Linked DNA regions of Lepisosteus oculatus. The protein of the gene in region 2 interacts with the protein of the main gene of each other region in a pairwise test. Links are inferred from orthologs where the notes say so. Each region holds a gene or a part of one and is shown on either strand. Other genes may lie near its edges.

Evidence for each region.
Region 1: the proteins of segment polarity protein dishevelled homolog DVL-3 (region 2) and snx22 interact in binary tests that used the Homo sapiens proteins (3 or more experiments, as listed by UniProt). The two-hybrid records come from large-scale screens. The link is inferred for Lepisosteus oculatus from reciprocal best matches to the Homo sapiens genes DVL3 and SNX22.
Region 3: the proteins of segment polarity protein dishevelled homolog DVL-3 (region 2) and Wilms tumor protein homolog interact in binary tests that used the Homo sapiens proteins (3 or more experiments, as listed by UniProt). The link is inferred for Lepisosteus oculatus from reciprocal best matches to the Homo sapiens genes DVL3 and WT1.
Region 4: the proteins of segment polarity protein dishevelled homolog DVL-3 (region 2) and bahd1 interact in binary tests that used the Homo sapiens proteins (3 or more experiments, as listed by UniProt). The two-hybrid records come from large-scale screens. The link is inferred for Lepisosteus oculatus from reciprocal best matches to the Homo sapiens genes DVL3 and BAHD1.

Annotation. Positions count from the first base shown.
Region 1 is NC_090700.1:60,321,849-60,329,606, forward strand, and holds the start of snx22 (sorting nexin-22), read right to left. Parts: upstream 3,063-7,758; 5' UTR 1-3,062. UniProt on the Homo sapiens protein: May be involved in several stages of intracellular trafficking. Interacts with membranes containing phosphatidylinositol 3-phosphate (PtdIns(3P)).
Region 2 is NC_090708.1:16,798,788-16,805,962, forward strand, and holds the start of segment polarity protein dishevelled homolog DVL-3, read right to left. Parts: upstream 3,085-7,175; 5' UTR 2,715-3,084; coding exon 2,554-2,714; intron 2,381-2,553; exon of another isoform or gene 2,235-2,380; coding exon of another isoform or gene 2,161-2,234; intron 1-2,160. UniProt on the Homo sapiens protein: Involved in the signal transduction pathway mediated by multiple Wnt genes.
Region 3 is NC_090716.1:7,828,580-7,836,167, forward strand, and holds the start of Wilms tumor protein homolog, read right to left. Parts: upstream 3,168-7,588; 5' UTR 2,711-3,167; coding exon 2,317-2,710; intron 1-2,316. UniProt on the Homo sapiens protein: Transcription factor that plays an important role in cellular development and cell survival. Recognizes and binds to the DNA sequence 5'-GCG(T/G)GGGCG-3'. Regulates the expression of numerous target genes, including EPO.
Region 4 is NC_090703.1:12,318,248-12,326,235, forward strand, and holds the start of bahd1 (bromo adjacent homology domain-containing 1 protein), read right to left. Parts: upstream 3,048-7,988; 5' UTR 2,819-3,047; coding exon 2,794-2,818; exon of another isoform or gene 2,437-2,793; intron 1-2,436.

The DNA.
Region 1 (7,758 bases), on a different chromosome or scaffold from region 2:
CCACAACCGTTAGCATTTCTGTTTAGGCCTACCTGCTGTACAAAGTTTCATTTTAAAACTGACCATTTCCTAAGCCTGCCCAGCAGTGGGTTTCACAGAAATAAACGCTTCTGAATATTGCGACTCAATATTTAAAGAAAATGTTTGACAGAAAAAAAAACTAACAGTAGTAGTTTATGTTTAAGAAGATATTTCCTTTAAAAATACCAAAGTGGTTACAAATATCTAACAGGATAGTATTTTAATGTAATTAAATTGTGAGAATGTAGTAATGTACTGTAGGTATGGAATTGTTCTAATGAAATATGTGCCAGTCCTATACAATCACTTGTCTTCACCACTCCAGTCATGTCACAAAGTCTGTTCTTAACAGTCACATCCGGCTACTGCAGTGAAAGATGTAGCAATTCTGTACAAACTATTCAATTGATTTTAATATAGATTGCATTAAATTAATTTCATGCATGTAATTATCACCAGAATGCATTGTACCTGAAATTCACTTGGGATAAGCACAGATAAGATGTCGTCACACTGTAGGAATGCTATGCCAAGGAACAACTAATAGACAGCGGTGTGATTTTCATTAGACACAGCTGCCCTCCGTACAGAGCTGTTTTTGCAGCTGTCACTGGTCTTTTGTCACCACCAGCTAAGTGGTACTTTCTGCTTGTCTGTGTACAAGTCTGTAAGCCAGCAAGACTGTAAGGAAGCAAGACTGAGTCTGTAACTTATTTTTTCCCAGGATGATACTTATTCCCACAGTTGTTTTTTTGATCACACAGTGCAGAAAGAGGCGTTTACAGTACTTCAGTCCCTGCAGCAGATTCGCTGGGCTCTGCCTCTATGAACGTTGACACCACAAGATTAGACACATGGAAATGTCTTAAGCTTTTGTCCTACAGGACAAGAGTAAAACACACCCTTCATCAGAAATCAAGTTCCAGTCAACCATTACAGCTAAGAGCTTTGCCTGGAGTCACATGCTAAGACAACACCCTGCTTGGGTCTTCAATCCATCGCAGGGCACACACAAACAGTCAAACAAGAATAATTTAGAGACACCATTTAACCTAACCAGCTTGTCTTTGGGAGCCGTAAGAAAACCCAGGCTAACTGAGGGAGAACATGAAAATTCCACCTGGAATGTGCCCCTGATTGGGAATTGAACCCACAACCCCAGAGCTGTCAGGCAGAAATATTAACCGCCATGATGCCGTGATGCCCAAACGCAGAGCTAAATGTGATAAATAATGGAAGTCGAACAGTTGACAAGAACCGGTATATTTTAGAGGAAACAAAAGGTACAGTGACCATTCTTACTTCTGTTTTTGGAGATATGTGGGGTGTTACTGGAAAACCCAAGCATCTCAAAACCAAAAGAACATCTCGCTACACTGTAGGAAATGAAACAAATATTGCTTCTCATTTGTAAGACAGGAATGCGACAAGAAATTGTTCATCCTAATTCTATAGCTAGTTTCCAGTCAAAATCCAGTGGTAGTCTAATGTTTTGAATATAATCTGGCTAGTTACTTTAAGTAATCAAAGGATGTTTTCAAAGGGGCCTCTCTTACTGTATATTTAAAATTAGCTGAATGCTTCAGCATTAGTTTTACAGACACTAAGTCTAATAAAATTAGAATGTACTTTGTAAAATTGTTTTGATCGCAACTTGAGTTTGAAAATTTACAAAACTATGGTTTCTTACATTTCAAGGTCACTATCTAGTGTTGATATATTCCTTTTCATACCCCTTCGATTTTGAGCTTGAAATATTGACAAAATGGGGTGAGCCAATAAAAAAACAAAGTCAGACTCTAAGTCACAGTTCCTGTCTCCACTTCTTGATTGTGACTGATGTCAGAGACGTGAGCCAATTCCCTTTCTCTGACAGGCAGTGAGTCAGGGTGCAGGCTGCTGTACTCCCTTCAAGCTTGGAAAAAACAGCTCCTTTCACATTTGCCAACCTGGATGAATATACTGGCCTGGGTAAAGAGTCAGCAAAAGAGACATGCAATACATTCCTTTCCAGAACGAGACTGCTTTGGAATGGTGGAAATCTTTCAGCTAATGGGAACACAGTGCAGTGCTACAGGATGTTGAAGTAGATGTGCTGTTAGCATACAGATGTCCCACCATGTTAACAGCACATCTATTGTGACATAAAAAAGTACTGTGTTAATCTTTGTCAGAATTGTTCAACAGAAGCCAGACAGACAGCATGAGTACCGCAGTGACCACTGTACAAAATTTACCAGTAAAATGTCTGGTGGGGCATTTTTTATCTAGTTTGATTTATTTGTATATAGTGAAAAATTAGGAATCAGGCTAAAGAATGTATTAGCCTATTTTTTTCTTCTTCAGGATTATGAAATTGATCTTCCTTTCAGTCAATCAGTACTTGACATTACAAGCCTGGGTATGGTAGAATAATTTATATCAATCCTAGAAATCACAAAAGCTGAACCCAAACTGGAGCTTGTTAATGAGCATGCTGCCTTAAGATTTATTTTCTGTGTTGACTCAAGACTCCTGTGATTGACCATCACTTGTGTTTTAACAGAGACAAAGACTTGTAAGGCCTTTAACACATGGGGACATTTTGCAAGCTTTTATGGGAACCGGGCAGACAGTGTTTTGGGGGTGTAGAGTGTGACGAAAATGTCAGGTGAGGAGTAGGGATGGGTGGAGGGGGAGGTGTGGTGTGATTTGTGTCCAGAGGGGGCTAACAAGCACACAGATATTCTTCCTTACTGCCACATTGCTGAAGGGAGAAGGAGCTGTGCAAGCTGGCGATCCCAAAGGCACAAAGAGACTTAAAACAGTCATTCTCTAACAATTTTAAGTGTCTGCCGCAGGACAGGTGTGAGCAAGCATTTCAGCATTCTCTATAAACACTGATTCTCTAGGTTTAAGCTTGCACACAAAGAAAGCCTGATCTATCTGTACAGCAATAAAAGCCTATGTTAACATTTCAGCCTGCTTCCTTGTTAACACAAACCTCAGTTTGAATTGTTTTTTCTTTTTAATCTGAGTATGAGAAGCCACAGCCATTTAAACACCAAACCTCCCTCCCTCCTCCCCCTGCAATTGCCTTTAACCCTGCATTGTGTCAGAATCCTCACTGAAGCTGAAAGTCACAGCATCAGCAAACTGTGAGATCATGTGCAGGAAGAGAACAGGAAGTAGCCTGCCTGACTCTCAGGCCTCGTCAGTGACCTCGTGCGGGAAGAGTCCTCATGAAAGACAGTCCTGCTCCGGCTTCTCCAGTCGTGAACCTCAAGTCTCCTTCTGACTGGCATGTGAGTGTAAGACAGCGTCAGACACGTGCCTTGAAACTGCTGGCTGGGCGCACTGCCGAAAGTCAAATAAGGTGCGAGCTGTTTTCAGAAACACCCTGACCGCTGCTGGTGAAGGTGACTGTACTGTCTACACGAGGGCACAGGAACAGGTAAAGGTGTATTCCATGTTGAAAAGAAAAGAGACACAGAGGCTGTACAGCCTTCTTCAGTTGAGTCCTGTTCCTTTGCTGCGTACGCACACTGAAGCAGCTACCTACTTGAACTACAAAGCATATGTATAAAAGTACTAAAACTCAACGCCAGGGAGCTTTCTCTCCAGAAAAAGTGAGGTTTTCCTACGTCTGGAAAAGAGGGATTCTGGTTCAGCTCTGGGGTGGGATGATAAATTATCCGATTACAGATGATGAAAATTGTGTATTGCGAATTGCGATTGAATACAGTCCGCCATCACTAAAGCACAGAACATTGCACTGCTAGCCTTCAGATGGTTGCAGCGTTAATTTCCTTCCATCACATCCACTCCAGGAAATGTAGTTGTAGTTTCAGAACAGTTAATTAATTTTTTAATCAGAAAATTATTTTCATAAATAATACCAGCAACAGATTGAAGAATTATGAAAACAAATACATGCCCAGGAGTTAAGTAATGGCGAATAGGCATTAGTTAAATACAGATTACACAAACTACTTTTAAGGAATAAGCTAACAGTGTGGAAAATAAATTGCTAGATCAGAGGAAAATTATACATGGAGATGGTCTGGGGTGCTGCCCCAGAGACAAACGGCCTAATAAGGTTTACTAAGACAACTCCATGACAACGAGGCTTTCCACTGTTGGCCTGTTATAACTAAGCGTGGTTTTATCTGTGAAAGTATGAAAGTGGAAGAGAAGGGGGGGAAGGGGAACGATGTGTCAGTAATGAACTGTCCAAGTAGGGATAAAGTGCTCGGTAATGTATTTAAACAACTAGAGGGAAAGACAAAACTTTAACTATAATTGTAAAACACAGGAAAATAATTTCCTACATGAAGAAAATAAAGGTCACTGTAAAAACCTATTTGTATTTTTTTGGCATTTTTTTAATGAACGTGTCTTCTATTGCAATTAAATGCCTGAATGATAGCTGACAAACGAAACTTTTTAAGACGTTCTTTTTTCAGTTATTTTCAGCACTGCGCATGACGAGAAGCAGATCTGTGAGACAGGAAAGTTCTTTTAGCTAGTGGTTTTAATGAAGCCACTCAATTACTAAACATAGAAAAACAATAAATAAAAATAGCCCTGGTCCGTTTTGGTCAAAATTATACTTTCAAAAAAAGCTCCTAACGAAATGGCTTCTTGCCAAGCCCGGGGACAGAAAAGGGCTGCCAGAATTAAGAGTTAAACAAGATACTTCAGCAGTCATTTCAATGTTGACAATGTTGAACTACAGTATGAGCCCAGTGGATTGTGGTCACGAGACCAGCATGCTCCAAGCCATCAGTTTCTGCTTTGGCTTAATGGTACTGAATTTACCTCTCCATGTCCACTTCTAACCTCAGGTGCTCGGGAAAACACACAGGGTACTCATACATCCCATAATCCTACATGTACCACAACCGGGCCTGATAATTTCAACACTTTCTGGAAGTACACAAGGTTTGAAATTAATGCAAACTCCAGGACGACGGGATGACTGGCTGTAGCACATCCATAAACAGGATTTCAAGAGAATCACAAATGTTTGGCATCAGACACAGCATCTTTTCATAAGCTTCAAAAATCTCTGAAACCCAATACAGAAAACAATAGTGCTGGGAAACAGTTGGCTTATCTGAAGAAGAAAAAAATACCTTCCAGCTACAGTCTTGTTGGGACTTGAATGCTCTTTCTCCAGAAATATGCAGAACGAAGGGAAAAAAGAAAGAACTGGAAACCAAAACTGTGCTTTTCCCTTAAAATGGAGAACCATAGCAGTGTCAGCCAGGGCTAAAAAGGTTGAATATTTTTTTAATATAAAAAGGACACAATATGAGTCACAAAAAGTAGAAATTGATCAAAACCGCTTTTTAAAAATCAGTCGATGGCATACCCGAAAAGGGAACTTATATATGCAGTTTGTGAGGAGCTCAACAGTATCATGCTACATTGCCGTACTGTAAATCTTGTTACAAACATTGATGTACCACGCTGATGTACCAGGTTGGTAGGGACAATTCTATCAAATGATTAGAATAATTTATTAATAAATAATAATTACTTATACTTGTATAGCACCTTTCTAGAAACTCCACTCAAAGTGCTTTTACAGGAAATGTAAAACTACCACTACCAATGTGCATCCCCCACTTAGATGATGCAAGAGCAGCCTTAGTGCACCAGTACACTCACCACACAGAGTGAACAGGAGAACAGAGTGATGAAGCCAATTCAGAGATGTGGATTATAAGGAGGCCACAATTGGTAAAGGCCAATGAGAAATTTGGCCAGGACGCCAGGGTAACATCCCTACTCTTTGAGAAACACCCTGGGATTTCACCGAGAGTCAGGACCTTGGTTTTACATCTCAACCGAAGAATGGCACCTTTTTACAGTGTGGTGTCCCCGTCACTATACTGGGGCATTAGGACCCACACAGACCATGAGGTGAGCATCCCCTACTGGTCCCACTAAAACCTCTTCCAGCAGCAACCTTAAGTTTTTCCCAGGAGTCTCCCATCCAGGTACTGACCAGGCTCACAATATTATTATTACAAATTGAAAATAGCAAACAGTTATTGTTAAGCTGTATAACACTCCTGTAATGCGAGAAATAACAATACCTTGTTCCTCAAACAGATACTGAAACCAAAAAGGCTTGACTAGTTTTATCCAGTGACCAGTAAAGATGGCAGGGGGTGTGTCATTAGGAGGGACAAGTGGAACCAGCAAACAGTAGCAGGACATATTTATTTCTCCATTCACAGGGTTGTGTGCAGGACACTTTCATGCCTGCAAAACACTACCCTGGGCTTGATCTACACCTTGATCAATCAAGAAAAAATTAAAACAAAAACCTTTTTACCGAAGAGAGAGAAACCACGTTCTGTGAAAGATAAATGGACATAAAGGAGGACTGTTTCCACACTTATTTTTTGTGGCATGACTGCAGGAATTATGATGCCAGATAAGGTCTTAACAGATGCCACAAATTCCCTAATTGCACATCCCAGAAGAACACCCACCTGCAGGTGTGCAGTAATAGGAAATGCTCCTGGGTTGAGACAGGCTGTAACGGAGACGGGTAACAAGTCAGGCCCAGACGTGTTGCCTGCACCAGAATGAAATGGAAACTATAAGTTCTTTGGAAAAAGCAAAGAGAAATCATCATCATGCCTGAGCTGAAAGGAAAGGCAATTCTTTATAACACTGATACTCAGCTCTGGTCCTTAAGGGTCACACTCCCACATTGTGGGTAATGCCATAATGTGGTTTTATAAGCATACTATTAATTAGGCTGAATATCTTGCATTCATACAGCTGGCTCTTTTACTGAAGCACCTTGCTTAAGGTACTAGAAGGTACTGATAGTAGCGTTCCACCCAGGACTGGAACCCACAGTCAAACAGTTCTGGTTACAGAGTTTGAAAACCCTGCACCACTCCACTGAATCGCTTTTCAGAGTAATTCAAAACACCTTCACTTCCCTGGTAATTCTGATGACTTTTATGTGGTTCTCCATTCAGATGACCATCTTTTAAAATAAAAACAGACATTCTAAGAAGACTGGATATAAAAAGCGTTTTTGGGGAGATGAATCCAAGTGCAGTGCAGCATTTAAAGGTCTTCACAGCTTTGTGTGTAGTTCATTTTCTTGTGTTTCCATCAGAAACATCTTACATTTGCTTAAATAGTAACACTTGCAGAAATCTAAGTTATTTTGCCGGATTTGGAAATTTCTTCTTCTGGAATAATCATCTTTTACAAGTAACTGGAACCACAACACATTTGAACTTAAGCTTCAAGGAGTTCCTCTCTTCCTCCAAAAAACTGATCTAAATAGGTCACATTTACTATACACAATCTGCAAAATAAGTTGTTGCACTTAATTCCTTCTCCAAGTCCTCCGGAAATGCTTAGTTTAGTGTTAGCCATTTAGAAATAATACTTAGATCCAGTGTTCTGTTTAAGTGACAAACTAAAACATATTTTCAGTACTTTTCAGTAATCTCAATGACCATGCTGTATGTTTTACATGAAAAACACAAGAATATGAAAAAGGTTTAAACAGTTTAAAAAATAGTTTTAAAACAATTTATATTTATGCTATTATGAAATGCCACAAAGGAATCCTGTTAATCTTGAGTATCAAACAGAAGGTTTTCATTAAAACGCATTGAAGGTTCTCTCATCACTAATTAGACCAACGGATATTCTGAAAGATGAGTGATTTTGAAAGAACTAGTAATGAGGGATAAGAAATTAAGAATTTAC
Region 2 (7,175 bases):
GCCATGATATGAGCACATTTGGACGGTGAAACAAATGTTTTCAGCTCAAGCGGTTGGCAAGACCTGCTGTAGGTCAGCCCCCCCCCAACAGGCTCAAAATCCGAATGAGTTGTAGAAACAGGCCTGTCTGAAAACCCAACTGACAAATTGCTCTGTTCTCTCATTTGGATCAGAAAATCGTCACAGCTTTCAGACAGGCCTGCTTTGAAGACGTCTTTTTACGAGCTTTTCATGTACAGTACACTCCTAAGCCTTTGGGCTCCCAGCAGGCTCTCCGGAGGAAAGGACTCTTTCCACCCAACCCGGCTGCTGCTCCGGCTTCTCTTCAGTGTGACTGTTAGCTCCATTTACTCATCGTTTAAAACAAAAACAGTGTGTACGACCAATGGCGTGGGTCTGCTGGAACAGGCCATGAACAACACTCTATAGACAAGAGCACAAGTTCACTGTGGAAACACACTGGATAGGAGCTTTTCAGACTACCGATTCTCAACAGCCTCCCAGATAGCACCTACCAGACCACGGTAAATGAACAGCTCTTGAAAGAGACAGCCCTGCAGGGTTACAGGCAACATTGGCTCCACACAGAGCCTCTTGCCAGACCCCAGAAAAATCACAAACCCACAGCCTGGTGTTGAGCAGGTCAGATCCACCCAGAAACGGGGGCATTTTGGACCAATTAGGCCAATTATAGAGTCATTAAGCTACAAAGATCTAAGGTTTAATATAAACCAGTGTCTCTTGAGGAAAGTGCTGGTTTGCCTCCTGTTTAGCTCAAGTAAGACACAAAGCAGGTCCACTTCCCTGACCTCCTCCTCCACAGCCCCTGACACCAACCAGCCTTATTAAACACCCTCTTAACCAACTGGGCAGGACAGTCAACAACAAAAACACAAAGGCTGCTCTTCACTGGCTGGACTACCGGTCACCTAACTCAGAATCCTATCCGAGTTGGCCTGCTTTTTCCCCCCACCAAACTTCTGCGTCTTGATACTAACACTCTCTTTCTCCCTGCGATTATGCAGGAGGCCTGCTAACAGCGGTGTGCGGGAAAAGGCCTGGTCAGCCAGGTAGCGAGAGCTGTGTGCACAGGCCAGCCTGAGCGGTCAGACAATGGAACTGAGACAACGTCACCTAAACAACTCTGAGTCGGCCGCCCGGCCTGCCCTGCATGTGTCAAACAGCTGATGTTCGGCGTTCAGTGCCTGCTGCGCTGCGTTTGGAAGACATCCGAAGATGCCAGGCACCTCTTTGTTTCAGTCTGAGCCCGGCCTCATATGTGTGCAGATCAAGGACAGAGAGGGTGAGCGGAGCGGAGCTGACAGCGAGCTGCGGCTCCTCCGGGTTCACAGTTTTCCCAAAACCCACATTCCAGGCCGGCGAGGCAGCCCGACCTCGCCGGGCAGAGAAGCTGCGCCGCGCACCAAACGCAGGCCAAGGCCCCCGAGAGAGGGAGGAGAGAGCGGCTCCGTGTGTGAGAAACTAATGGGGGACAAAAGATTTTTTTTTCCTCGTTCTTTTCTTTTCACAACAAAAGAGTCCCGTCCGTCAAAAGCAGTACCAGCCACCCCCACCTCTCCACACTCGTATCCGCCATTTTCACTCCCGAGTGCAGAGAGACGCCGCACAAAACGCACGGCAAGCGGCAAGCGGCAAGCGCTTGGGGTAGTAAAATTCCCCTCCTTTTTAACATGTTAGGGTGCAAGAGCAAGAAATGGAATCGATAATCGCGCATAATGCTGAAACAAAAACCTTCCTGCACTCAAATTAAAAAGGTACTCGGGCTGTAGTTATGTGAAAGGACTGTTGTTGCATTTAAAACAAATCCTTCCCGTCTGCTTTCTGATTTAAGATTGAAGGTGATGTCACCGGCCCCCTACTGAACTTGTGGCGAGATTGTTGGGATTTCTTTCGTGTAGGACCTTCCCACCATCTCTCTCTTTCGCTCACTCCCCCGATTCTTGTTGGACTTTATTTTCCACCAAAAATGCACCACCAGCTCCGTCTGACCTCGGTCCTGCAACCCCCCACCCCCGCCAGAACCAAACCCCCTTCCAGAGCCTGTAACTGAATCCCAGGCTCCGGCCACACAGAGAGCTGCTCACTCCCCCTATCCAGGCGCTCTCCTGCGTTCACCCCCCCGCCAGCGCAGGCAATAACCTTATATAGGACTCCTCCATTTCCAAAATGGACGCTGTCGATATGGAAAAAAAAAAATCTGGCTTCCGCGACATTTTTTAAAATCCTTTCTGCAAACCGCACCAAGCACCGAGTGTCCAAGCGCTCCCATCTTCCCTTCCCTCCCTCCCCAGCTCCAGCTCCGGGACCGGGGGTCACTCTCTCCCCGCACACCGGAGAGGGGAGCCGGGAGCGGCAGCAGGCGGCGGAGGGGGTTGGAAGAGGAGGGGGTGAGGGGACGGGCAAGAGCAGAAGTAGTTGGCTTGCAAAGAAAAATAAAGGAGGAAAAAAAAACAATAACACGGACAATTGTCACCCAGAACTGAAACAATTAACAACAACAAAACAAACCGTGCAGGTGTCCTGCCGCCTTACCCAAAATCGTCGTCCATAGATTTGAAGAAAAACTTGTAGCTGGGTTTATTGAGGACATTTTTGAAGTCTGCCAAAGTGACCCTGTCGGCGGGGATGGGCAGCTTGACCAGGTACGGGGTCTCCTGGTCGTCGATGTGGTAGATGATCTTGGTCTCCCCCATAGCGAGCCGCTGGGGAGGGGCAGGCCAGGCGCATCCAGCCCGGGGGCCGCCGGCTCTCCGCTGCGCTTCCCCGGGTCCCCCCCGAACACCGACCGGCGAGCTCTAATCCTCTGGCTCGGCAAGCCGGAGAGACCGCGGCGGCGTCTTGCCCCCACACACAAACCCAGAAAACAAACGCAACAGCTCCGGTGCGAGAATAAACCAATCCCTTCTGGTTCAATCCCCTCTTCTTTTCTCCGAATTAAAAAAAAATACAGAAAAAGTTTTCCTTCTTTCCAAACCTCCTGTTTATACGGGATCTCCAGATCCGTGCTCTCCGATCCCTTTCTCTCTCACTCGTCCCCCCCCCCCTTTTCTCTCCCAGTAGCAGCTGTCCGTCTTTCTCTCGTTATTCCAGGATACTCCCTCTGCAGGAGGAGGGGAAAAAGAATGGAGAAAAAATCAATGGAAATGCACACTGGTCGATCAGCGCCCCCCAGCGTCGCTAGGCGGACTAATCCGCGGAACAATACAATTTCCCATCCTTCCTCAATTCAAGCTTCTGCATGAGCGTCTGCGTCGGACCTGCATCGGGGTCAGGCTGGATCAGATACGGAGGGCGCTCCGTTCAGTGCGCGTGTCGGCTAGTGTCCAGGCCACGGCTTATTCTGATGACAGAATAGACGAGGAGGAGTTGAGCGCGATTGATCCCATCAACTGATCGATGTTGCTCGATTATGAGATGTATTAATACAATTTGCGGAACTGCGTGGAATTAGTTGGTTAATTATGTGTCACCGATAGTAAGCATGTCTTTGGACTGAGGGAAGAAACCAGAAGGAAGGGAGGAAACCCACATAATCATGGGGAGAACATACAACCTCCACGTAGATAGCACCCCAGGAATTGAAGCCAGAACCCCAGCACTACGAGGCAGCAAGACTAAGTACCGCACCACCAAGCTGCTCTATACCTTAACCCTGAAAATACATTCCTCCCCTGGTTCCACTAAGCCTGTGTGATTACACACTTCCCCCTGATTGCATTTGCTTATAGCTCATTTATAGTGAACTCATTGATTGATTCAGTATGGCTCGATTGAATGTAGGACTGCTGCAGTTATTTCTTGAAAAAAAAACTGGGTTTCTGAATGCTATAATCTGGTCCTCTTGAAGTCTTCTCTGCTGGAGAGTATAATATTCAGTTCCTTCAGCCTGTCAGTGCCCAGGAATGTCTGGTTACTCTAATCTGGAGTGATTTCTGAGCAGATATTCCTGATTTGCATGTGGAGTCAAGTTGTACACACTATTCTAATGGAGGTCTAACTAGTGCATTGCACAGTTTTAACAACTTCTCCAGATATTTTTTATATTAAACTCACTTGTTTGCCCAGCTCTTGCTTTGTCTACATTGTCAGGAAGAAGAAAATGATGTGTCAGCATAACCTTTTGTTACCTACACCTACAATTGCTGAAAACTATAAAAGCAATTTGTGAATTAGCATGCGCTGCTGAGGGGCAGCTCTAAAGGGGCAGCTGTGCAGGTCAGTGAAAAACAGACTTCACCTGGCAGGGGTCAGTACTGTCCAATACACACACAACCAGAGAGAGAGAGAGATTTCCTTTCTGTCCCATAAGAGAATGTAACTCCTTTTTCCTCATGAAAATAAGACCTTACAAACCAGTCATACCATTCTGGAACCTTTAAAGAACTTATCTGGGATGCAGGAGAAGGGCCCCTTGCAATTAACTGTAACCCCATTTAAAGCAGGCACTTATTTTCTTTTATGCTGAAAAGCTTGTAGTGGCTGCTGACTCACCTGCTACCCTGCTGAAGACCAGACAGGGATGTGTGGGAACCTGGATTGTTAGAAAGTGAGGAGCCCTTCCGCAATGAAAGATGCAGCCGACTCAATTCAGTTTAAAAGTGCCCATACTGACCCGTTAATGTGCCACTCATCTCTTGGTGGACCAATCTCACCCTCTAGTGGACAGAGCTGGTTACTGCAGCTTTGCCTAGGAGTATCTCTGGTTCCCTGACTGCAGAGAGCTGCCAGACCTGGTTTTCTCCAGAGCTCACCCTGCGGGCCGGCGCGTCTCTGTGCCGGGTCACACAGCTCCAGAGCTCACCCTGCGGGCCACTGTGTTTCTGTGCCAGTGTCACACAGCTCCAGAGCTCACCCTGCGGGCCGCTGTGTCTCCGTGCCAGTGTCACACAGCTCCAGAGCTCACCCTGTAGTTCACCGTGTCTCTGTGCCAGTGTCACACAGCTCCAGAGCTCTCCCTGTAGTTCACCGTGTCTCTGTGCTGGTGTCACACAGCTCCAGAGCTCTCCCTGTAGTTCACCGTGTCTCTGTGCCAGTGTCACACAGCTCCAGAGCTCACCCTGTAGTTCACCGTGTCTCTGTGCTGGTGTCACACAGCTCCAGAGCTCTCCCTGTAATTCGCCGTGTCACACAGCTCCAGAGCTCAACCTGCGGGCCGCTGTGTCTCCGTGCCGGTGTCATACAGCTCCAGAGCTCACCCTGTAGTTCACCGTGTCTCTGTGCCAGTGTCACACAGCTCCAGAGCTCTCCCTGTAGTTCACCGTGTCTCTGTGCTGGTGTCATACAGCTCCAGAGCTCACCCTGTAGTTCACCGTGTCTCTGTGCTGGTGTCACACAGCTCCAGAGCTCTCCCTGTAGTTCACCGTGTCTCTGTGCTGGTGTCACACAGCTCCAGAGCTCAACCTGTACTTCGCTGTGTCTCTGTGCTGGTGTCACACAGCTCCAGACCACTCTCTACTGGTATTGCACAGGTGTGCTGTGCTGGTTTTTTAACCCCTGCCTCAGCTATTTCCGGGTATTGGCTTAACTGCATCAGTAGAGCACAGCTGAGGTTTAAGCTAGTGCTTCACAGAGACCAGCTGGATCTGATGGACTTTGGGCCTCCATGACAGGGCTTGCCCAGCTGGGGACCCGGTCAATCTAGCTTGACTCTTGACTTCTCTGAAATAACGACTAATTCTTAAAAGTCTTGGACATAAATTAATTTGTGAAATTATATACTGTATTTGACTTAAACTTTAAGAGATAAGGCACGCAAAAGCAAAACCTGGAGGCCTTAGGCCAATTCCGATCTTAATTAAGGGCATCAACGCATTGAAGTAAGAGTTTGGCAGGGATGGCGACTTCCAGACATTGGGGTCACAGGTCTTGGGGCTGGGAAAGCTGGACGGCATCACTCTCTCTACTTGGCCGATTCTTCCGGTCACTCCAAGTGGTTGCTTCAGTATTGAGTCGCTGGCTTTAAAGCACTGCAGTGGGGTGGAATGGGAGAGTGTGTGTCTGTGGACAGACAGACGTTTGTGCTGGTGGCAGGGTGCAATATCTGCAAGTCATTCACACCTGCAGGGTGTACAGGGTGGCTTTCTGTGTACAGACACCGAGAGACTGAGTGTGCCAGACAGAGAAGGCGAAAAGAGACGACAGCTATACATTCCCCAAGGAGTGTGTAAAAAATTCAAACCATCCCAGACAGCTTTCTTCAGAGCAGGACACTACCTGCGTTTATTTCAAATATAAAGAATTAAAATACACTAGTGTTTCATTTTGTGCAAAATCAGTAAGGCTTCTGACAAGGCCTCATATTGGTAAATTACACCACGCCAACCCCCCCCCCACACACATCCCCTGCTACCTCGACAATACAGCCTGTTAAAACACAAACATTGTATATCTTTTTCTAAACTTCCATCAGAATCGTTAAGGCAGGCTGTGAGGTCAATTATCATCCATGAACTCAGTGATGATAAACAAATTTCACAAAATTAACGTAAATCACCATATTCTGAAATTCTCCCATTAATTAGGTTGCTTGCTTTTTTTTTTTTTAAAAAAAGTTTCTTTCTCCAATCAGGGAAACGCAGGCAGACAGGTGGAGCCAATCAGGAAGAGTGTCTGTCCAGACCGGGGGGGCGGGCTCATTTCATAAATGGGTGTGGCTGAAGCAGCAATTGGCCAGTCACGCTCCAAATTAGTAGCTGAAGGGCTGCATGGCACCAATGTGGCTCAGCCCCCTCCTGCTGAGAGGCAGGCTGGAGAATAAGGTGGGAGGAGCTACTTTAGCACCAGGAATTAAGGCAGGACCATCCAGTCCAAATGCTACGAAAGTTGCACTGTCCTCTATTTATAGATCCATCCCCAAGCACTTCATGAACTCAATTTTTTATTACAAAACATTAGAAAGAATAGCCCATGAGGGGCTCTCAACCCACAAAGGTCTGCTTAGGACACCCCCACAAGGAGCTATGTCATCAGCCAGCTGTGGTTAGGATTCCCCAAGCAGAGCGACACAGCTGACTGGGGGCTTTTAAAACAAGCAGGCTGTGTGGTCTGGACCCCTGTGACCTCGCGAGTCACCCGGGAGAGCTGCCCAGGCCCCCTGTCCCATGCTAACTCTGACTAGCTGCAACATGTCCTTTCTGCCGGGAGCTGAGCTCATT
Region 3 (7,588 bases), on a different chromosome or scaffold from region 2:
ATCTTTGGAAGTGTCACAATAGGATATATTTTTAATGTGGCTTTCAAATTTGGGAGGAGTACATTTTTTAAGGACTTTCTGGATCATCTCAACATTTCCCTTGTAATTTTCATAGTCTGATCTGCCTGCTCTTACCAGCTCAGCTACTCAGGAAATAGTAGTTGTCTTTTGATTTATTTTTTTCATTTGCACAACATTCTTTTTTGACTGGCTTGGTACAGACTTTTCATGACCTTCAAAACAATGCACCAAGCGGAATGATTTTTGGCCATGTTTTCCGGTGTTTGCCTGGTCCAAACCTAAGGAATGTGATAAGGAGTCTGGAGCACAGAGCAAAGCTTTTGATAGCAAGGTTTCTTTAATTAGGACTTTATCAAAGTTGGGCTTGATTAAAATGTGCTGAAAATAATTGAAATTTGTCTATCTGCTGCACACTGTGATCTTCAGAAAGAATCCAGTTATTGGGAAAACCCAGATGAGTGGGAGATGAAAAAGAAATGGGCAACATTTCGACAGTTTTATTTTCCAACACTGCCAAAACCAGTCTATAAGCCAAGGTAAAATCATTCCCACGCTCTGAAAGAGTTTTTAATGCTAAATCCAACCTTGACGGTAGCTCAAAAGAAACATTTTTTGAGCCTTTCATTATCATTTATGCACAGATGCAGCATTTAAGGATATGCAAAACTGTACAGCTTTGAGAGAAAAAAACTTTGACCCTTATCACTTATCGCATGTAGAAAATAGTCAAACCAGAGTGCTGTTTTTAAAAATGATGGCTCACACATAATGATAAACGTGTTCAAAATGGGAAAAAAGATGAAATATGAAAATGTCAGAAAAGTTAAAAATGTTTCTTGTGTTTTATTACCCTACCACAGTGCTAACACCGCCAATGTAATCTATTAACCAAAACTTTACATTTCAAGTATTTGCTCCAAAAAGGTATTTTTAAATATTGTAATTTTAAGGAAATTTACTTTTGTGTCAAATGTAGTTTTTCAGAATTCTATTTTTAATGAACAGCAACAGACTTATGTTTTAATTATAAAATCTGAGCATAGTTCAGTATAACTTTTTTTGTCATATAGTTGAATGGTTTGAAAATGACGTACTAATATTATAAAGTATCTTACAGTGCATAATATTCCTAAAGTCATTAAATTAATACTTTTTTGCACATGGATTTAAGGTACTATAAAGACTGCCAGATTAGTCAAGAAATGTTTAATCCTTTATTACATTATCAACAACACCTGTAAAATTAATGTAAAATAAATGATTATGTTTCTGGTTACTTGTATGTTGGAATACTTAGAACTGTATCTTACTGTAACCTTTTATTTCTAAGATTAAACTACAATAGTTCAACAGTACAATAGTTCCTAATACATGAATTATCATTGTGTATCATTGTGCTGTGTCACATATTTTTGCAAGCTATGCAATTCAGATAAATGTTACACACCAGACATTCTGTTTTATAGCATCAGCAAGCAAATATTTAAAAATTCATTCCATTTAAGTAAATGCTTTTTATTAGGTTAGAAATCATATTAAACTGTCTTTTTAATATTTAGAATTCTACTTAAAAGATCTATTATTAAAAAATAAGTAATTGTATTATATTCTACATTTGATATCTCTATGAAGTAATGTTTGAAAGTGCATAACATCTTTCCTTCAGATTATTTTCTGGCTAGCAAAGCACTTATGGTTCCAGCATACTCCTTTATTATTAGAATTATTACGATTCCTATATAAGCTTCAGAACTGAAGCCACCATAGTGCAAACATATTTATTTATCATTTTTAAAACAGCCAAGTAAATCTGCAAGGTATGTCAATAACATATATATTCTCTTCATGTCACCAGAAAAAGGAAATGCTAAATGTGTAGACGATTTTGATCATGTTTAAACCTCAGATCGGATGCTTGGAATGTTAAATCTGAAGCCCTATTGGTATTAAAACATTTTTGGTTTAATTTAACAATTAAAAAATGCCTTTGATGTTTTTCATCAAAAGTGAGTGCCAGGGAAAAAAAAAAATTCTGAATGAAAATGTCAAATAAAGAAAGAAAACAAAACTGTACTTGAAGAATGCGCTCAACTTTTACTTAAATTAAGACAGTGAGTGTTTCCAGACTTCATTCAAAAATCAAATGTCTCATTAAATGAATACATAGTGCTCAATCTTATTTCATAATAGTGTTTTGAGGGAAAATTAATACAGAAATTGCATCTGTCAGAATGTCCACTGAGAAGCAGTGACAGGTTCCAGAATGCTCAGCAGGACTGACACAAGATATCTTACCCTGGTTTCTGGCGGCTGGCTGGGTCTCCATACAATTGGGCAGGTAAGGTCCATTTGTGAACATCCGGGCTTGATTGGGAGGGGGCTGGCTGGGTGTTGGGGCCCCAAAAGCCCCATACCTACAGGCTCCTGTCCCCGTGAACTGACCAGAAAAGTGAACCGTGAAGGCACTGAGGCCACAGTGGTCGTCGTGTGGGTCAGCGGAGTTCCAGTTGGGCTCCTGCTTGATGAAGGAATGAGGGGCGAGGGAGCTGTAGGGCGTCCCAGTATGAAAGTCCAGAACCGGCCCCCACTGAGGAGCACTGCTGACTGGCAAGGCACAGTTCCCATTCCCCGCTGGCAGGGAAGACACTGCCGGGAGCAAAGCATTGAGATCTCGAACGTCCGAACCCATCTGCACCCACCACCTGGGAGCTAATTTCTGCTGCTGCGCACTTGGGTTCACGAAGCGAAGAAAGCAGGGAGGTGAGGGTGCGAAGTCTACAGTATATATTTGCACGTACAAATATATTTACTTCTCGGGAAAGCCTCCTCACTCCGTAGAATAAGATTCAGGAAAGGGTTAAGTCGCTGTTCCAGGGATTCATGACTCTGCGGTGCAGAAACGCTCTCAATTCAGGTCTTTCTCTTCAGACCCCCCCCCCCCAAAAAAAGAAAATGAGAAAACCGCTGTCCACTAATCTAATAGTCCATACAGGTTGGAGGAGCTCTTGAGCGCTGAAATCCTTGCTGATCCAAATGGGTGAGCAGTGGCTGGTGTGTGCTCGAGGCTGCCAAGGCAGGGGACCAAACTGGGGAGTAAGGGGAGTAGAGGAGCTGCCCAGGGCTCTGGTGCTGTGTGTCTATTTGCTTTGGAGTTCCGAAAGCTCAAATACAGCATTACTCTGGGGTAGGAGGAGTCAGGGCCAATGAGCAACCAGGATGAGCCATTCACTGACTAACCTTACCACAGCTTTCACTATCTCCTGCCCGTGCTACACAAAGCGCTTGCAAGTGTGTGTGTGTGAGTATGTGTGTGTGTGGGGGGGGCGGGGGGGGGTGTGGGGAGCTGGAGGGGCAATAATAATTCATCCCCAGCAGTTACATCTTTTCACTTACTCCTAGCACAACTAAAACCTACTTTTAAACTGACTGTGCAAAAGGAGACTGTGGCTTGTAAGTACATCGCATAATATTTATTTCTTGGCTTGGCGAATGCACTTGTGAGTGCTGATTTTTTTTTTAGGTTTGGTTTTTTGGAAGTCTGTGCTGTTTATTCTATAAATACACAGGAAATCTGCTATTTGTGTTTTCGTTTAATATGCTGCCATTTATCATTCAGGCAAAATACAGATGTAAAACGAAACTGGAAAATAACCAAAAATCACTACATTTTTATAATTCGCTAGAGAACCTAGACAGCTAGAGTGTTGCAAGTATTGTATTTGTTTCAAGCAAAGTCGTTGCGTGTTAAGTATGGCTAAAATTGCTTATTATTAGTGACGCATCTTTGGGATAGAGTATAGGATGCTGTGTTTGTGTGTCTCTAGTTTAAAAAAAATAGAATAACAGGATATTCAGGTATAAATTAATCACATGCTATACTGTATACAGCAACAAGCGAAGAGCTTTACCTAAAGTAAACCACACGGCAGTTGCAAGACATCTTCAATAATAAATTTCAGAGTCAAACGCAAAGAAAAACATGACAATGCATTCCTTGAGGTGACACCTTCAAACCGATATTAAACCCATAATGAACATTCCTACAGTACCAGACCATATTCGCTGCAGTTCACACGCTCCATTGAGTTCGTACAGGTCTTCATTTAACCGTTTGAAAGTTACATACAAACATCGTGTTAATGTGTGAAAGCATTCAACCGAATAGATAAACAATCGGGACAAGCTATCGTTACTGTAAGTTATAAGTGATAACAGCTGTACATACAGTATGTTGCTAAATTTTACTTCGTAGCCCAAGATTACTTTCAATTAAGATAGGATTAACATTACTGTCACGTCGAAAAACGTACTTCTACATGTGCGTATAATAATTTACGGGTGGAAGGCAATTAATTTAGGAAGTTTAATTTAGGATTACCAGGTTTCTTACTGTGTGTTTAAAAGAAAGCTGCATGACGGACTTCAAATGATTGCTTATTATGGTTATATATCAATTATACCCGTAATTACTTACATTATTTTACCAGTACTATTGCATTTCGTGTTTAACATTTAACAGTTAAAAAAGGTAGAATGTACGAAACCATTGCACAAAAATCAATTTACGTGTTCAACGGAATTATCTTTCTCCAGTGGTTTGACAGACTTCGTATGTTTCCAGTATTTTCAAACTTTTGTGGAGGAAAAGAGACTAATACAGACTAGGACATATTATACCAAAATTATTTTTAAATGGATGTAACGAGCTTTCAATTATTTTTTAAATTAAAGAACAAAATCATTTCAGTATTTATTTCTCTAAATCCTTCAAGACGATACATCTTACATATTAAAACATCTTGGATACTAAATATGCTACTTGACTATATGTATCACATACAGTATTGTATGTGGTCTTACTTAAGACCTTATTATGAATCTACAGAATATCTACTGTAAAGCCAAGCAAGATAATTATACTTGAAGAAATATACAGTAATACTTTCTTAAAATACTAAAACTTTAACTGAAAAATTTGCAAATTCAGATTATTTCAAGAAAAAAATGTGGGTGGAAATTGTTTAAAATCAGTCATCTTAGATTTTCTATTCGTGTCATCAAAATGAATTTCTAAATATGCTATGGAGACGAGGTAATTGCCTTTTAATTTTAAAAAGCCTTTATTAAATCCGAAAGACTGCTTCTGCAAAAATATCTAATTAGATATAATAACATAGATCAAAATTAAAAAGGATAATCAACCTAACAAACACAAAAAAACAGTAGAAAATGGGTGAATAATAAAATGTTATCGAAAGTTCTAAATTTCAGGTCATGATTTCTATCAGATCCGCCTCATCATCAGTGACAAGTTACAAAATGGACGTTTTCAAACCTTTTTCTCCTGAACAGAATTTGCTCTTAATTTTATGAAAGTTTTAAAAAATGAAAATTGCGGTGAAGATGTACGACAAGATTTGTGCCGAAATCAAAAAATAAAATTCATTTTTAAATATTTAATATGAAAAAGGCAAGAGAGAAAAGTCTTAGGTATTTTACACTGAGTCTAGGAAGATGGTAACGTAACAACTACTCTAATAATGACAATTATTGTTATGATCACAGAGGCAAATAACAAACGATTTTCTTGAATAAAAAACAACTAAAAATTGTCTTTTAATTTAAATTAACGTTTTCTTGGAACGAATATTAAGACAAGGGGTACTTCGCTATTCAGATCTTTGACAGCGTAAGATTTATCCTAAATACACACATCTTTATGACAAAAAATAAAAAATGCATGAGGATTAAATTGTCGAACTGATCTTAAATTTACGCAGGTGTTGATAGTGACATCTTTGACTAGCACATTTATAAACCATATATTTATCTAACAACATCCAGAATAAATAGAAATGTTTAGAAAATAAAGAAAAAATCTCAAATTTGGATTTGAAAATAGAACTGGGAATCTAGACTGAGGTCTGGTTTCTGAGTCATTCTGATTGTGACTATAGACGATAGTATTTTCAACCTTTTAGGTTTAAAGAACACTGCTTTACGCAAAATGAAATCCACCTGTCACGATGTTGTTTGCTCTGATCTAGGCTTTTAGCACTCATGAAGATAGAGGGAATAAACTTCTTCTTGTGTTAAATTGTTCAAATGAATTTCACGAGGATAAAGCCTTGTCAAATTAGACAATGGGAACGCGTTGTTCTTAAACAGTCTATACCAGAGAACTATAAAAAAAACATTAAAAACACATCGAACATGAACATTTCCTCTCTTTGTGTTTGGTCATTTACATTTATTATTAGTAGTAGTAGTATTAATATTACTGTTGTTGTTGATGTTGTTGTTGTCGTAGTCGTGATTTTTAAGTGCTCCTGGAAGTAGACCCATATACAATTTGTGCAAACTATAGTTTCGTCCTGTAGTACAATATGCAAACTATAGTTTCGTACTGTACTTGTCCTTGAAGCTGCTGAGATGTAACCACCGGAAAGACACTTTACGCACCGCTCCTATGAAGCCGTTACATAAAAGCATCCAGCCGGTATTTTTCTTTAAACATGTTTAGTAACACTTGGGTTAGGAGCTTGTAATGCACCTCCGGTATTTAATAATTGTTTTAATCAGATACCCACCGTTCTAACAATAAACATCACAATTATCACAAAACTATATATGAATTTAGTGCACTAGTGAATATTTAGGAATGTGCAGGTCAAATAAATACTCTCTCTAGATGTGCATTTTGCAATATTCCTTATTAAGAACCACAACATATTCACCGCACTACCAGGAACGTCTGACTATATATAAATATTGTATTCTAAAATAAACGAGACTCTTCACCTCAAACATAAACAAAACATAATCTTACATTAAGCGTAAATATACAGTGATCATGCATTGAAACTTTAGTGAATAATCGTGGTTTTCTATAAACGGGCAATGTTTCTAAAGATTTGATATTGAAGTAGAATTGAAATAAAATAATAAATCCTAGTATTGGTGTTTAAAATTAAAAGTTATAAGACGCTGTTCCACCTTATCCAGTAAAATGGGTTTTAATTTATTTTTATATGAAATACCATATTGGTAGTGGAGTTGAAATTAATTGTCTTTATGGCATAGTTGAAATTAAAAATAACCAAACTCCTGCAAAGAATGGAGATGTTCCTGATTGATGTCTTTTTTCTTTTCTTTTTGGCGAGGGGCTACGAATTGTGTTTTGAATATCAAGGGAACATTTTTATCTGTTTAATAAAAAGACAGCTCACCAGCAGGTGCTGACTCTACAATGACCTCAGGCAGTTGCTTATCTTTAAAAAAAATATTATTCAAAACTAAAATAATAAGGGAAAATGGTTAACCGCTACGCTACGTGCAGTTTGTAAATGACAGCCACCTGCAAATGAGTCAAAAAGATTATTTGTGAGCTCTTTTAAAAAAACACGTAAAATATGTGTAGATAAAGTCAAATGACAATGGCTTCAGTATGTGCTTCTTTAGTATAATGCAGGTGTAATATACTACTGAGGTTCAGTAACGGTTCTCACTTAGAGCACACGTTGAGATGCAACTGGTTTGAGACTCGACTATATCATTAGTCAACTTC
Region 4 (7,988 bases), on a different chromosome or scaffold from region 2:
GAGTGATTTTCCTTGTATAGGTTACTTATTTTTACTGTTTTATAAGATTTTTTGATCTACTGAACCATGAAAGAATTCAGTAAAAAAAAAAAGTCCATATAGTTAGAGTGTAAAAAAACTACAAATTTCTGTGTCTGTCAGCAGCAAAGATCAAAGTAATTTGATTGACAGTAACAAGGCATGTTTATGCTGATTTGGTACATGTCTATTATTGCTTTTCACATCTTATGGCAAAAAACAAACTTGTGACAGATATCTGCCGTTCGTTGAAAGCATGTTAAAAAAGGAAATAAAGTATTTTGGAACCTCAGCATTAATTGTTCAGTGAGAATATAGGTTCACAACATAAATGGCTCAAAGTTTAGATATTTGTTATCATTCCATTAACTGTTAATTTTTTTCAGGATGCCAAGATATTAAACCCTCTTCATACACTTCCACAAATCATTCATCAGAACAGGACGATAATGGTCTCCAGATATTTAACTGTAACCTCTATGAGAAATTAGGCTGGATTCTAGTGTATCTCTTCTGATAACACTTTAATAAGCTGTGTCCCTGTCCACATTTGTGAGAGAATATCTCATGGTCAGTGCAAATATCATGAACTACTCAGTATCTTTCAACACCACAAAAATACTGTGATAACATAATTCAGGAGAAACAAAACCCACACAGCACAAAACACATTACAAAGCCAAGCAGATGTGCAGTAGCAGAACACTTTTTCACAAAACAGTTGCAGGTGAAACAAGGAAATATAATTGTAAAAGTAGTAGCAGCTATTCTACAACACATGTTAACACGTCTCGCCTCAAAGACCACTGAACCATTAAAACTCTTTAATATGCCTTAGGCAACACAGCAAAGACGCAGCCAAAGGTTATCTACAGGTTAACAGAGCTGCTGGGGGCTTCCGTGAGAATGAAGAGGTGTACCGTAGTTGTGCAGATAAGAGCAAATATACAGTACCATAGGTTTCTGAGGGTTTGCGAATTATCATACTTAGACACGAAGAGAAATTAAAACGCAACAAATGTCCATTGTATTGGAACCAATAGCATTTGTCGCGCTTTTAAAGTTTCCAAGTACGTTTTCTGCGAAGGTGTGAAGAACTACATTTGGTCTCCTCCCCAGTTCATGACAGACTAGCTGAAGTGCTCCTGCATGTGGTGACACGCGACTCGCCCATCATTTACCTATCACAACTGTAAACCGCGGTTTGAACAGAGAACGGAGAATTGCAACCAAATGATCACCTGAGAAACTAAACAATCAAACGACACCGACCGCATTCGGCGTATACAAAACCATGGAACCAGCTTACCGCAGTTAAAATGTAAATGTATGCTTATTACGTTCATTATAACCCTAGATTTGGAAAAAGTGGTATGAAAGAGTTCTGAACAAACGCAAAAATGAAATCGCCGTCCATCATCTCAATGAATAATTGCGTTCGCGCGTTCAAGCAACGATAACTTCGACTATTCAAATTTCATACTTTTTGTAGGACTAACACGTGCCGTTTTAAAGAGAAAATATTTTTTTTGTTTCCGAGCAACTCACCGTAGAATAAACATATTGCAGAAGATCAGAATAAACATAGATTAAAACTCTGCTCTTGAATCTCCATAGTTTTGCGAATAAAACAGAGTTATACGCAGAAATGCTCTGATCATATTGCAATCTACGGTACTTAAAGAGCAGTCATTCCTTCCTTAATCTGACGTACAGTATTTCGCTTCTAGGAAAAGCATGTGTCTGTAACTGTTTAGTCTCGGCCTTCCTTCTCAGCAGGTGTCGATAATAAGTAACGAAGGTTAAAGTCATAAACATATGGGAGAAAGATTAAACGGGGGGATGGGAAAAGGTTTTGTCCAGTCGTGTTTGCATTTCGGGGATGAGCGATAATGTACATGCATTCAAACTAAGATGACCATGAAAAACAGAAGCAGAAGCGGTTCTGCTGGGCGGATCGTAGAAAACCAATTCTTTATTTCCAGAACCCTACGAGGCGCGTATCACCCAGGACCTAGAATGATGTAAATGCCATTCAAACATACAGTCGGTTCGAAACCAGACAGCTGACCGTATCGAAAATACATCAATTACTGCAAATGCAATTATGTGGATTACTCTGGTGAATAATGTACTTTTTGTGGTGCTGAAGTCGAGCTAAAATGATGAAGACCAGCAACACTTTCTCAGTATCTACTGTACAGTATATTGGACTGTACTGGTTGAACTCGCTTTAGATTCTAATAAATTCTAAAGGTTACACAATAAAACATGCATAAAAAATTTAAAGGCACATCGACTCCCATTCTATCAAATGCTATTCTGAAATATATGCTATTGCCTCCAGAGTACATATCAACGTGGATCAAAATATTTAAATACAAATAAAAGAACAAAAAATATGGGTTATATTTTTACCTGTTAAAACATCACGAAGTTTCGGCGGGGATGTGAAAAGATGGCTCTGCTCCCCTCTTCCAACAGATTAGCTATGGTATTTCTTTGCTTCGTAACGTGAAGCAAAAAAATCTCACAATTGACAAGACGTATAAAACGGTGACCTACTTCCGAAGTAGCATGCTTCAAGATAATATTCATGCGCTGCATTCGCGAAACCTGCTGTTGCAGCCTGGCATTTTAAGGCTCATCTTTTAAATTAAAATACATTAACTTTGGTTGCTTCTAGATACCAGCATCACATGCAGCTAACGGTTAAGGTCTGGTATGAAGATGTAGCACAATTAAGTTGTCGCTTTCACAGTCAGCTGCTAGTACCTTCGGAAAAAAAAACGTTTTGCATTCCCCCTTGATCGTCGGAATTTTCCTTGCTGAGTAAAATGCGATGCTCGTCGTTACAGTATCCAATCCACCGATATCATCGTGCTTCCTTTGCTAAAAGTTACCGCGTCCCTCCCATCGGAAAACCTCGAAAGAGAGTCAAAATGACAGATTTTATATGGATTTTAATCTGAAAGTTCCGTGCAGCCAAAAGTGCAAAACGAAGCTCGATTCCTTCTTCCTGATTAGGGCTCCAATCGGAGAAGCTCTGATTTTAATAAAACTTCATCTCGGCCAATTGGGCCGCACACGCACAGCGTCTGACATCCCTACCCGCCAATCACAACGTGACATTTTACTTTTTCTCTCTTCTTTAATACAAGTTATTTTAGAATCCACCCTCCATCGCTCGGCTTCTTCTTCGGCTCTGGTCTCTCTTTTCTGTGTTCCTTAAAGCGCCCGCACGGCGGAGAAACCTCAATGGTGCAAGATCCATCATCATCTTCATCAACCTCATAATCTTCATCATAATCGGATCACCTCACAGCTTAAAAGGAAACAAGGGTAGCTGCAACAAGGCCATATTAGTTGGTTTCACCGTTAAATTGACATTATTTGACCACTAATCTACTTGTATTTTAGGGATCAATACCCCCAAATTAAAATACAAGCAATGAATGAAATGCTTGAAATGAACATCTTGTGGCTCACTCGTTTAAATACTGAGGTTGAAACCTTAACGCTTTTAGTTGGTATTAAAGATCTTTTTCTTTTATAATGGTTAAGAGCCACATTACACCCTTTGCAGTCCCTTGTGTTTCAACAATCTAAAACGATCGATCAATGGTTTATTTTTCGTAGTTCGGTGAATTAAATGAAGACAAATGCACAGGTGCACTTCTTTCCTCTTAAAAGCGGCCGTGCTCAAATCCTCAGTACTCTCATTCAGGTGCTGTCAAAATCTTTGTTAATTACTCCGCCTGCACAAATTTACCTCCTAGAACAAGATGACATGACATATTTCTAATTAGCCGTACAATACCCACATCAACCTAAAAGCTGTTAGTCTAGTAAAGCATTAAGCATTAAAACTGTAAAGAGTTTTATGCATTTCGTTTAACTGGCTGGAGAATACACTCCTTGTACACATTTTACCCGTCTCAAAAATGTAACTGCAGTAACAACGACCTTAAATAAGTAACTCCTGGGTTTCACACATGCTTGAGAACAAAGGAATTCTGTCACAATTTGCGTGATCAAGCGAATGATTTAGCATGCAGTAAAGTAAAAAAAAAAACACCACGATTCAAACAAAATGCCACACTTCCCTTGTGTTAACGTGCAGTTCATAGAAACTGGATGTTATCCTTGTGTTAAGAAAAAGTTTTTTCATTCTTTATTGTCAACATAGAAAAATAAAAAAAAAACGTTTTTTCGCCAATTATAAGATTTGTTTAAAGGACATCAAAGAGCAAATTCCTGGTCAAAACTAGCAACAGATCCGCAGATTAAACGACCTGCAGGTTTCCGTGAGTTAAGCCTACACTGACGGGAAGGGCGTGGTGCCTGAATCATCAGAATTTACAGGATGAATCAAAGCTGATTTATTCCACGTTTCACGATTTTGACTCTTCAACTAAGGGAAAACCCAGCCGGACCCCAATGCGTCCCCTAAAATGATTTGATCGTTTGAAGTTTTGAAAATCCTGTATTTGCCTGTGATGTCGGTTTATTTTGATTTTAATCCACCCAACAAATCGGAATCATATTCGTCTTCATCTTAATGAAATTCATGAAATTCATGTGCGGATTTTGTCACCCAGTACTGATCCCGACATCCAGGCTATTTGTTTTAAGGAGCTGGTAGTCAGACAGAATGAAGGTAACACACAAGGCCCAAATTACAAAGAATGGGAATTATACAACACATGGAAAATTGAAAATCTTATATTTGTATAAATACAAAAATACAACAATTCTGCATTTGGTGTGGTTTTAACTGTTTACAATAAAAGGGATACAGTCTAGAAACACGTTTGTCGTGAAGTAACAACGTGATTAATAAATTAATTGTAACTGAACAAGATCGCAATCGTTTTCCAACGTTCCGACAACTGCATACAGAACTACATCTTGGGCATCTTGGCCGTATCTACTTGCAGCCATATAACTTGAAAACCGATTTCAGCTTCCTCAGGTTATGTGTGTAAGAATACCCTATTTTAAAAATAAACTGCAATCTCTGATATCAATTTGACATAAAAAGGTTAAGTACAGACTATAAGGTTTACTGACAAGCAGAATATCCAGAGGGTCTATGACTCACGGCAGGTGTTTTGCCCCACTTGTTACTGTAATGCATGCTCAAAAAGACAATATATTTACGGGTATTATTGTAAACCTGTGCCTGAAATTGTCGGAATCCTTAAGTCAAATGCTGGGAAAAGTGCTGAGCGAATTTCACTGTCTTGGTCTCCGACTCATTTAGTAGAATCCTATAATTTACAATCGAGCTATTATCTCGCCAAAATTATAACTTCCACAAAGCAACACGACAAGATACTGCATATCAATGGTACCAGTGTTCCCATGCGTAGATCACCAAGGGGCAGGAACAAGCCGACCAGAACTAAGGATTTGATCGCATACAGAAAACTGAACTGCGTTTTTCTATTGAGAAAGGCAAAGAAAAGTTTGATGACTAGTGCTGAAAAATTGTTTCATTAACAGATCTGAAATGGCAGCGTTCGTGGTTATTAATTTCCTGCGACTTCACTCCTTGGTTTAGCATTGTCTTAAATCGTGCGTATTTTTGCGATCAATAGCGCAGCTGATCTCATGAGCGGAGCAAACCCAGAACACAAAGAAAATAGCGGACGTCGGGGGAAATAAAACCAAAAACAGAATTCGATGAAAAACTAACAGTCGGTTTTACAAACCTAAACTATATTCACACATTTCACCAAATTTAATCATTTTAAAAATGCCAGGGCTTAGATTAATTCTATAATAGAACGCCGCAAATCCAGCTAAAAAGCAATTGACGTTTTACCCTTCGCGAATATTACAGTCCCAGCGAGGCACAAGTACAGTAAATTAATATTAAAAGGCCTACTACACTACACTGGCATTTCATAATGTGTTTAAACCCATAGGTAAGAAATAATGCCAAAATTAACATGTACAGACATTCTCATTACAAGGCCGTGGACAAAAAATAGTAAACTGTCACCAAAAACTATTGTCTCAATTTTGCAGATAAGCTCAATTGCTCAATATTTAATTGCAACGTAATACACAAATACAGTCTTTTACAGTTGTGAAATCATGCTTTGGCTTTACAAAACATGAAAAAATACATAAACGTTTTGTGAAAGGTGCAGTTTGCTTAGATTTGTAGCATTTAAACAACCTCCACCTTATAAATGATTAATCTTTATGATTGGACTGTATTTTAATAGGCTCTTACTACTTTCATCTATCTTGCTAATGATACTGATGGGAAGAAAAGTAGCTAAAACTGTGCTGGTCCTTTACAGCATGAAGCTGAATGTGTTCCTTTAGTTACCATGTTACAAAAATGCTGACGCTCTGAAATCAGTCCAAATAAGAGAAAAGAGAGACCAGGTGCATTCATGTTCTGAAAGGAATGTTCTCCTCCTTACAATCTGAACAAATTGAATCTGCTCAGTCTTGAACAGAGAAAACTGTGAGGGAACCTAATTCAAGTACTCAAAATCCTTAAGGGCGCTAACAATATCAACCCACTGGACTTCTTCAGCAGAACAACTCGGAGGGCTCACATGGAAACTATGAGGAAAATAAGTTTGGAACTGAGTTCAGGGAAGCGCCTTTTACACACAAAGGCTTTTGATGGGTCCGGAGCAAGCTACCTAATCATGTTGTTGAAGTTTAGATTATTACTTCTTTTTTAAAAAAAGGACTCACTAGATCTCTGGATCAATGCACTTCCAGTAACCACTGATCTACACTTGCCAAAAACGTCCCTCTTCTCATTTGTAACCTACAGTATCTTTATCTTCAACTATTTCTTACACTCTATCGCTATGATATCATTGTGATGTAGTGATAGTGGCTCCATGAGTTGACTCCATCTTGGCTCAAATCGTGGGCGATGGAGTGGCCCTGCGCCAAGCTGGCAGCTGAGGGACTGGGAGGTGCTGCAGAATTCGACACACCTGGGCTGAATTAGTGTGGAGAATGCTGACTGGGAGGGACAGGGACAGAAAGAGAGTAGTTGGAAGGCTGGGAGAGGCAGTAGAGAGAGCCTTATGCTGGCTCTGGAACAAGAGAGAACCAGTTCCTGCTCATCTCCTCCCACCCTCCAGCTTAACTCCTTTCCCTGTGGACCCACCAGCAGGAGGGCGTTACAGACAAGGGTCAAAGCGCCGGCTGAACGCTGGATTCCATCTGATTACATCAATTCCCAGCCAGCAGCAATAGTCAGTGCACCTACTGACTAAGGAGAGCATCAGTGGATGTATATAAGAAGTACTGAATTCAACAGGAGGAGAACAAAGCTGGTAGGATAGACTCTCCATGGAATCAGTAATGCCTCTGAGTGTAATCGAGGGGGCTGTAAGAGAGCAGTCGGCTGGGAGGAATTCAGGCTGAGCCTAGACTCCCAACAGGACAAGAAAGTCCAACAGCTTGCTGCTGTGCCATACTTGGTGGCTGTTACAAGAAGCAGAGAAAGGAAGACCTGGAACAAGGAGTCTGCTCAGTCTTCCCCAAAAGGGAACCGGCTTCAGAGGCAGAATCCTGGAAGAGGTCCAAGCACAGTAACTGTAATGCCAGCCCACTAAGACACCAGACAGTCATGTGACACAGCTTGAAGAAAGGCTGCAACGGGCCTAGAATGGCCACAGAAAAGGAAAGTTGCCCTTGATTGAGAGGCAGACAGTGTCAGACCAGAAGGAAGACAAGCTCTGGTCGGAAGGAGGAGGTGCGCGCTGACCTGTCAGTAAGCCTGCGACTTAGCCGCGGTTTGAAAGGGTTTCAGTTTGTGTTACAGCAGGACCCACCACTGACCTGCAGTGAAGGGGTTAGGCTTTTGATCACCTGCTGCAACAGTGCCAAGTGATCAAGATTACCCAGAGCCTGCAGAGGTCAGATTGCTAACAGCAAACTGAAGGGCTGTAGGGATCAGCCCAGTTTGCAGTGTCATACAC